Arabidopsis thaliana: one gene and its partner. The protein of the gene in region 1 purifies or fractionates together with the protein of each later gene. This does not show direct contact. Each region holds a gene or a part of one and is shown on either strand. Other genes may lie near its edges.

The links.
Region 2: the proteins of AT5G48640 (region 1) and CDKE;1 purify together in Arabidopsis thaliana (affinity purification with western blotting, with the first as the bait; one study listed by BioGRID). This does not show direct contact.

The regions. Positions count from the first base shown.
Region 1 is NC_003076.8:19,722,879-19,727,389, forward strand, and holds AT5G48640 (Cyclin family protein), read right to left. Parts: upstream 2,871-4,511; 5' UTR 2,764-2,870; coding exon 2,732-2,763; intron 2,616-2,731; coding exon 2,509-2,615; exon of another isoform or gene 2,359-2,508; coding exon 2,319-2,358; exon of another isoform or gene 2,152-2,318; coding exon 2,107-2,151; intron 1,913-2,106; coding exon 1,794-1,912; intron 1,686-1,793; coding exon 1,571-1,685; intron 1,318-1,570; coding exon 1,267-1,317; intron 1,148-1,266; coding exon 1,000-1,147; intron 880-999; coding exon 775-879; 3' UTR 526-774; downstream 1-525. Other genes in the region: AT5G48630 (Cyclin family protein), read right to left, coding at 94-241; AT5G48650 (Nuclear transport factor 2 (NTF2) family protein with RNA binding (RRM-RBD-RNP motifs) domain-containing protein), read left to right, coding at 4,401-4,445.
Region 2 is NC_003076.8:25,462,815-25,467,543, forward strand, and holds CDKE;1 (cyclin-dependent kinase E;1), read right to left. Parts: upstream 3,109-4,729; 5' UTR 2,909-3,108; intron 2,349-2,908; 5' UTR 2,244-2,348; coding exon 831-2,243; 3' UTR 548-830; downstream 1-547. Other genes in the region: AT5G63620 (GroES-like zinc-binding alcohol dehydrogenase family protein), read right to left, coding at 3,566-3,750, 3,873-4,050, 4,132-4,273, 4,367-4,580, 4,668-4,729. UniProt on the Arabidopsis thaliana protein: Involved in cell differentiation. Required for the specification of stamen and carpel identities and for the proper termination of stem cells in the floral meristem.

The sequences.
Region 1 (4,511 bases):
GGAAAACACGAAAAACATGATTCATGACATTAGAGATGTTAAATCCAATCTGGAAATTAATTAACAAGGTAATCAAATCCAATGAAAACATACAATTAGACATATGAAGCTTAATGAGTCTGAAATCTTCAACAGAGATTCCTCTCTGAGCATCAAGAGGATGAACAACATTAACCTCTTCTGGGTCCTTAAGCTCTTTGCTGTGAAAATAAAACCCACAAAACGAATCAATCAGGAACATGGAAATTGAATTAAAAAAAGACGATCTTTAATCATTGATTGAAACTTACTAGTGCGTCGAAGTCCAGAAATTGGAAGCCATAGCTTCTTTGATCCTTCAACTTCAAAAATACAAGCTTTTTATTTTTATGGTGTGGATAATGAGAGCATAAAGACCACCAAGGAAAAATACAAAACAAAAAAAGTAATAATTCAGTATTTATCTTTTTTGATAGAAAAAAAATTATTTACCAAAAAAAGTTTTTAAAATTCTTATATGAAATCTTTTTTTTTTTTTCATATTTCTCATCTTCATCAATTTGACCTTTGTTTTATTTCACATTTTTGCTTCTACGAGAGGTTTAGGTTTTGGAGAAAATAAAAGGGAAAACAAACCCATTATGATGAACAATTAACAATAATGTTTACTTTAAGATTAATAGGTTTGGTAATAACAGTGTTACATGTTTGCCACAAAGCTAGATGGATGGGCAATTGTGGAAGTCTCTAATCATTTTTTTCTGTGCGATAAGTCTTGGAGATGGAGGTGATTCTCTACAGCTTCAAAGCCAATTTGCTGAAGGCAGAATTCACTTTTTCCTCTGTGATTGTTCTGTAGTTCTCATAGAAGTCCAGTATCTCCATGGCAATATTCTTTACCTGCAACCCATTGCCCCATGTAGAGCTTTCAAAGTCACTAAAGAATACCGAAAATCACGCAAAAGATCATAGCTATTCGCTTTAACTAATGATTGAATAACTTTTAGAAGAATGACTGACCAAGTTCATGTCCTCATGAAGATCTTCAAACCATGCAGTGATATCTTTCTCTCTGTGGACACTTGCTATGTATATGCATGCTAGCGCTATGCGGTAGGGAGGGTGTACAAGAATGAGGTCCATCTTATAAGTATCATTAACAATTCCCCTGAAACACGGAAAATAGGTTTTCAAAATGCTTTTTATACAGGTCAGAGATCTCTTAGATTTTAAGGTTGGAGCTAGGAATTGAGTTCTATGCAATATATCTCATATAGAAGGACTTACCATGTAATCTGGTTCATATTTACATCGTTTAATGCAGCATCTTGCAAAAACCTAGAAATCAAAAGAATGAAGTATTAGAATGAGTGTTGATTTTCTGACCATCAAGGCACACAAAACTCTCACCAAGGAAATATTAAGGTGGTCCAAAATTTTGATATAATGAGAAACATCAAGAACATTGTATGGGAAGACTGCAAGTTTTTACATGTATCATCATTTACACTTCTCCGTTTGTAACCACAGACAATAAGGCAAACATGTTCAAAGCTTCCGAAAAGCGGATAAGAGAGATGAGTGGACATACTCCGATAATGACCGGTAAGGGTGAAACACAACCAGATAATAATCTAGTGCTTCTAACACCTTCATCTCCATTCCTAATATATCCTTTAGTTCATATTTGTTGTACTCATCAGGATCTGCAAAGATATAAGAACCGTTGTCGTCGATATGTCAAAAAAAAGCATATTGAAGGGGAGGTACTCTCATGATTTGAAAAATAAAAAAACAGAAGAAGAAGATATTACACAATCTTTTGATGTAAAAAACAAGATTCCTGGCCTGCACTATGCTTTCTTCAGCTTTAGATGCCAGGTACAAGCACGTAAGAGCAACAAGTCGAGGCTCAAACTCTACCATACTCTTTCTGAGATAGTATAGTAACAAAAGGAAGATATTAGACACCAAAACTGAAAACTTTCGTAACACAGTTAACGTTTTTGATAGCAGAGATGCAACATAGAGAGACACTGGCATGACAAGAATTTAACTCATTTCATTCCTCACATACACAAAGATGCACATTGATGTATACGATCATATCAAAAATACATTGCATACCTGATATAAACCCGTCTCATATACGTAATTGCAGTAGCTACAACCCTACATAAGTAGAAAAACCAAGGCGACGATTCATATACAAGTCCAGGTTACACCAGATATTAGAGCTAGTTAAATCTACAGAAGCAAAACAAAGTAATGGAAGTACTGCAACAGTAGAATCTCTTTGATATAGCAAAAATTGGACCCCCAAATTGTAAAGAACCAACCTTTGCCTCACTTTAATGTGCTGAGCCAATTTCATAATATCTGAAAACAACAATAAATGAAGAAACAAAGAGACATAAACTCAAAAAACTTCTCTGATCAATCTCTAATCAAACCAGTGCAACAGAGACAACAAATTTGCTTAAGTAAGCAGGAGAATTCGAAGAATTAAGAAGAAAAAGGATTTCGTACGATTAGACATATGGAACTTGATGAGCTTAAAATCATCAATTGAGATTCCACGTTCTTTATCGAGATCATGAACTACGTCGACTTCTTCTGGATCCAAAAGCTGTTTACTGTTTCGTACAAACGCAAAAACAAAACAAAAAAATTCGAGAAATTGAAATTAGAAGTTGCTTAGAAGGAGAAGAAGAAGTGAATTTTGATGGGTAAAGTTTTAAAGAACATTTACTAGTGAGATGAATTCCAGAAATTGGCAGCCATTTTTTCCGGTAGACCGTCGAGTCTTTGGTAAGGAGGAGAAGCTTTTTTAGCTCATAAGTTCAACATTTTTCTGTTATCTGTCAAATCTCTTTGGTTGGTGGTCTCATGATCTATCATATCGTTGCTTTTTTCTGAAATTAAATTTAAGGCTCGGCCCATTATCGGCCCAATAGGCAAACAAATGAAAGTATTAACTCTGATATAACATGTTCGTTGTTTTTTGAATAACAGAACATATAGATGATAAAAATTGAAATCTTATAAATAGCTAAGAAGTGACCGAATATATCATTTCGACGAGGTATAATCAGTTTCAAAAGGATTAAATTTGAGTTTGGTTTTTTTCGTCATGATTAAGGCTATAAAAATTCTAGCTTTATATCATCAGCCACACCGAATATTTTTCTCTCACAAGTTTTTGTATCATGTATTGTTCAAACGCTTGATCAGTGATTTTCTTCTAACCATAAGTTTGGGTGTTCATAAAAGAATTTTCAGAAGAACACCACACATTTTTCGTTTGCCTAATATACATGTTCATTTGTTTTATTGAGCCCATACTCCTTTATCAAAACTAACTTTTTTTCTTTAAACATACTAAATTCAAACTAAACTTAGACTAATACATACTCAAATTAACACCCTACATGTTTCTCACGTTCAATATTTGGTACAAGCCAAATAGGTAAACTACAATCTAAAAACGCACGAGAAAAACCGCATGACAAAGGAATAAGCCAAATAAGTTGACTACAATCTAAAAAACGCACGAGAAGAGTATCGATTATCCCGTGTCTAAATTTAATTCCGGTTTTTCGCTATCAAAACAATTCAAGAGGAGTTATTATTCTCTAATTCACCTTATAGAATTCTTTGGGATTATGTGCTAACCCAAGTTAAAATCTAATGTACTCATTAATAAAAGGTAAGTAATATTAAAGTTAGTGGAGAATAAAATCTGTTGAAGAAAGGTGAGGAAGTGCAACGGACCATGTTTGACACGTGAGAGTCAAAAAGGCAATAAAAAAGTCGTCAACACACACACTCTCTCCCCGTCTATATAAACATCTTCTTCACAGTCCCCACAAAGTCCTCTTCCGTTGCCTTTTCGCTTTCTCCGTACACTTGGCCTTCCTTCTAGCGATCAAACCCTAGGTCCCGCCATTGTTGGTCCCAGACTTCAATCGAAGCTCCAATTTCACTAATTTCAGGTGAATCTTCTTCTACTATTTCTCTTCCGTCAGTTTAATGTCACGATTTCGCCGGAAAAATGTGATCTACACTGTTTCGGAGTGAAATGTGAAGTAGATTTCGTTGGTTTCTTAGCTAGTTTGTGCTTTTCTCGAAGTTGTTTCTGTGTTTATTTCATGAAACGATTTTGGGTTGCTTTTGTGAAGTTGATTTTGTTGTTGCCTCTTAGTTCGTTTTCTTGCTTGTTAAGTGTTTATCGAGTCACTATGTGTAGTTCATGAATTACGTTTTCTACGGAAACGATTTTGGAAAGTTGTGTGTGAGATTTAGAGATTTTCTGTTTTTTACATGATTCTTGGGTTGTTCTGTGATTTACATTGATTCTGAGTTTTGACAGTCTTCTATGAATTACAGGTGTTGTTTATTCTCTGGAAGTTGGCGATACAATGGATTCTACTGCTGCAACCAAACGTGTTGTTGACCCACTTACTGTATGTTTTTTCAATTATGGGGTTTCTTCTCCTTTTTACTAGTTGTAATTGTGATTCTTTGTGTGG
Region 2 (4,729 bases), 5.7 Mb from region 1:
ACGATGCAGAATCACGTACAGTTTGTATAGCTTGGTTCACACATTTCAGGCTAGTTCAAGGTTTGTGGTTTTCTTATCCACTTATTTATTGTATTTGTCCTGAAACAAACAAGCATATATATAACTCTTCTTCGTTCTTTTGAATCTTAAATAAAAGTCATAATAATAGAAAAACATTTCTCATTCATTTGTTTGTGTTGTATATATATAATATTTCTATTATGAAACTGATGGTAAGGTGAACAAAAACAAAATTTTGATTTGGAAAAGTATTATGTTCGTAATAATTGGATCACTGCTTACGTAGTATAATTGAATACAAGTTTGAAAACATTATTTTACTAAAGTATAATCTTTTCAAACTTTAATAGCAATGTTTAAACTGTGTGGTATTAAATATTCATTAGGTCTATGATTGATGATGTAATTACATTAGATTCTAATGTATGTTGGTGGTAAATAGATAAGACTGGCAGGTAAAAAAAAAACAAATTTCATAAACAGTAGAAACATCACCAAAATTGTGTTCATAATAACTGTAAATTGTGTTCATAATAACTGTCTCATTATATATATTTTTCACTTGGCAAATCTCCTATTTACTACGTTTTGAGAAATGATGTTAAGAGAAATGATGATCTAATATAATTAACAAATACTTGAGAGGATGTTTATACAAAAACTACAGAGAATCCAATCCATCCATATGAATAGCAACATTCCACATGCTGCATTACAATCTAACTCTACTCTATAAAGCAAATCGCAACGCTTTCTTCTGCGGCAAACACACAGATTCTAACCCGAGACTGATGATCTCGATTTTACCTTTAGAGGCGTCTGGATTTGTTAGGAGGTGCGTAACCTGACATACCCATTCCGGGATCTTTCCTTCTTAGCTGTTGCTGCTGGTGCGGTTGAGCCATCCCGCGCTGCTGCTGCAGCGGAACACTCGGGTTAAGCCCTGCCTGTGCCGGGAAATTATAAGCCATCATGCCTTGAGATTGCTGCATCCTCTGCATGTTATGTGCAACCATTGGTCTTGGCATCGATCTACTGCCCATTCCATGAGCTCCTGCCATGTTCCCTGCTACGTTTCCTGCTGCTACTGCTTGAGGCGGATTGATGCTTGTCGTGCCTTCGAAATCGGTGTTTGTATCTACTGGACGAGTTGGGTAATTCACATTCTTCTCCATCGGTTGGCTGGCTACAAATGCGTTCCGTCCTGGGAGAGGATCCATTCGGAAATACTCGTGTTCTAGTGCTTGTGAAGCCGTGATCCGCTTTAGAGGATCATATTCCAGCATTTTGGATAACAGATCATACGCAGGACTTTTCTGATTCAGGTGAACCACGTTGTGGAGACCCACACTGTCGTATTTGTGAGCTTGAATGTGTTGAACATCATTTTGCCAGTGTGGAAGGTTAACTAGTGTTGGCCATTTATCCATCGTCGGGTGGCCTAAGATCTTGAATATCTTGTCAAGTTGATCTAACTGGAAAGGGTTTTGAGACGATTTCGCTTCTGCTCCTTGAAACAACGGTTTAAGAGTTAGTAACTCCGCGAATATACACCCAACTGCCCACATATCAACAGCGCTCGTGTAGTGCTTCGAACCAAGAAGCAGCTCTGGTGCTCGGTACCAGATTGTGACCACAACTCCGTTATCCGATAGTGGTTTCAACGGAGCTTGATATATCCTTGCGAGCCCGAAATCAGCTATTTTCACTATTCCGTGCTCTTCTGCATCACCCATAACCAAGATATTCGACGGTTTCAAATCTCTGTGTATAATCCAATTACTGTGAAGATAGTTCAATCCGTTGAGAAGCTGCCAGAGCAAAGACTTAACTGTGTATGTGTTTAACGAATGGCCGACTTTGTCTCTGTGGTGCCTGATGATTTCATAGAGATCGTACTCGGCATAATCAAAGGCAAGATACAGAGACATGTCTGCAAAATTGATGTGGACATTCACAAGCTTCACGACGTTCTCATGGGAAATCTCTCTAAGCAACATGATCTCGCGGATAGCAGTCGGGGAAACTCCATCTCCATCTTTGGACTGCTTAAACTTCTTGATAGCAATAGGTCTTTTAGGCGGAGTCTTGGTTCTAGCCAAGAAAACAAGACCATAAGTGCCTTCACCAATCTTACCAACGAGATTGTACTGTTGCAGCCACTCTGGTTTCTCACTAGTGCTGTTTGAGCTGTTGGATCTACTGGAACTCCCATCTCCCATTGCTTTTTAGTATTATTCTCTACCTCAATGTCCTTACCATGTGAATCGGAAAAGGGGTAGAGTCTAACAAAACAAAACAATCTTGGTTTCCTCTTTGTAGTTCTCCTGAAATTTGAACAAAACTTTGGAAAATCAGCCAAAGGAATCAAACCGTACATGTAATCTATCTAGATTCTAGACTCAATCAAGTGATCCAGAAAACTTACAAGCAAGAAACTTCACAGAAAAAGATCTAGGACTCCTCACAAACCAAATTCCAAAAGGAACGTTTCAAAATTAGCAGACAATAAAATTCACATCCCTCAGAAAACTTCATATGAACAAATTCAGACACAAAGACTCCAAATTATCAGCAATTGACGTCTTATCAAATCTCATATTCAAAATAGAATTCATCTACATCGAGACACGAAAGCTCGAGACTTTACTTCAAAAGATGGAAAAGGGATCAATCAATTCAGCAGAAATTACCAAGCTCCAAAGACCAATAACCAGAGGAAAACCCTACAAATTCAATACCCAGAGCTACGGTGCCCTAACCTAATCAAAGACCAAAAAATTTCGATACCACTTTCAAATTAAAAACTTCGAGGCCTTATACGATCTGTTTTTACATTTCTCAAAAATCGACGATCAGGAAAATAGAAATACGTAAAGGATCTGACCGGATAAGGCGGTCGGATGAATGATGGGAAGAGGAGCTGAGCTTGGAGAACCTCGGAGATGGAGGAGAGTAGACAAAAGCGAGAAAATTCCGGTGAGACGTCACGGAAGGGAGAAGATTGCGTTTTCCAGAAAACGGTGACGTTCCAAGCAGCCGACGCTGAGAATGGAAACTAGATTTGTAATTTTTTTAGCCACTTGCTCCAACTACGCTATTTATTTATTAGTAAATTCATTTATTTTTGTGTTCAAATAAGTAATTTCATTTAAATCATCGATATACATTAGTAGATTGGATATTTCTCATCAAAGATTTAATGATTTATAGATAATTTTATCAAAAGAGAAATAAATTGTGTTTTTTTATATATATGTCAGTTATTAATATTCTTAGAAAGTAGAAAATTGTGAAAAGAGGGAAGAAATTAAAAATATTAACAGTATAGAAAAACAATAAATGTTGGAAAGAAATGAAAAACAGTAAAATTATAAATTTTGTCCAGTTACTACAGTTTTTTTTTTTCCTTTTCACTGTCTAAACAAACACAAATATCAGATTAACAATGACCTTGTCTGAAGATTGTAGCAACTAAAAATAGACCTCAGTGAAACAGGTGTGAAGCAGTCATTCACAAACCAGAATCAAAAGGCTATATTGGTTATAGTATCTCAACAACACCTCGGCTCACGATTTTGCCTTCGTTGAGATCTTGAAATGCTTTTCCTGCATCTTCAAACTTGTATTTACTTGAGACTGCGTTTGTGAGATTGAAAATCCCTGACTCTGCCAATTTCACTACTTTAGGAAGATCCTGTCTTGCTCTTCCTCCATAAGATCCTATAACTTTTATCTTCACAAAAAATTGGAAAAACAGAACAAAAAGAGATTCAATATCATGATCTTAAAAGACAATCTCAGTACCAGAGACTTTCTTCTAACAAGGCCGAGAGAGAGAGAGTAAGAACCCCAAACCTTTCTACGAACAAGTCGATTTATGTCAATTTCTCCAACGGAACCAGCTTGTGAGAGTCCAATCATCACAGCTTTTCCACCATCTTTCACACTTAGTGTGCACTGCATGAAAGTTTGAGGCTTTCCCAAGGCTTCAACAGCAACATCAACACCCATCCCACCGGTTATTTCCTACGAAGAAGAAACAGTTTTTCATATTTATATCAATCAATGGTTCATCTTCACAAATAAGAGGTCTTGAATCAACCATACTCTTATCCTTTCAACAGCATCTTCTTTAGCAGCATTGACAATATGAGTAGCACCAAGTGTCTTGGCCTTCTGTAATTTATCATCCTGAACATCCACAGCAATGATATCCGAGGCTCCAAAAGCCCTTGCGATCTGCAAACAACTGAAGCAACAACTCAAAGATGGTTATGGTCATACAAGAAGCAATAAAACCCAAATCCGGTAAAGAAAAGAAAATGCCACACATTTAACATACCTGGAGCCCACACCACCAATTCCAATAACTGCAATAGAATCTCCAGGACGGATCTCAGCAGCATGAGCCATAGCACCATATGCTGTAAAAACAGCACATCCCAGAATGGCAGATTCAGAGTAGGGCAAAGACTCTGGTAGAGGAGCTAAACCATGAGCTGGTGTAACACAGTACTCAGCCATCCCTCCCATACTATACATATACACTGGTGAATCTGCCAGAAATTAAGAAATGTAATTAGGTAAAACAATCACAGTTCTCCTAATATGCCACCTGATGTTTAAAAAGTCTTCAAATTTACCATCATGTCGCAAAAAGAGACGAGTTTCGCCATCGTAAAGAGTTCCCTTGGCTCTGTTGTAA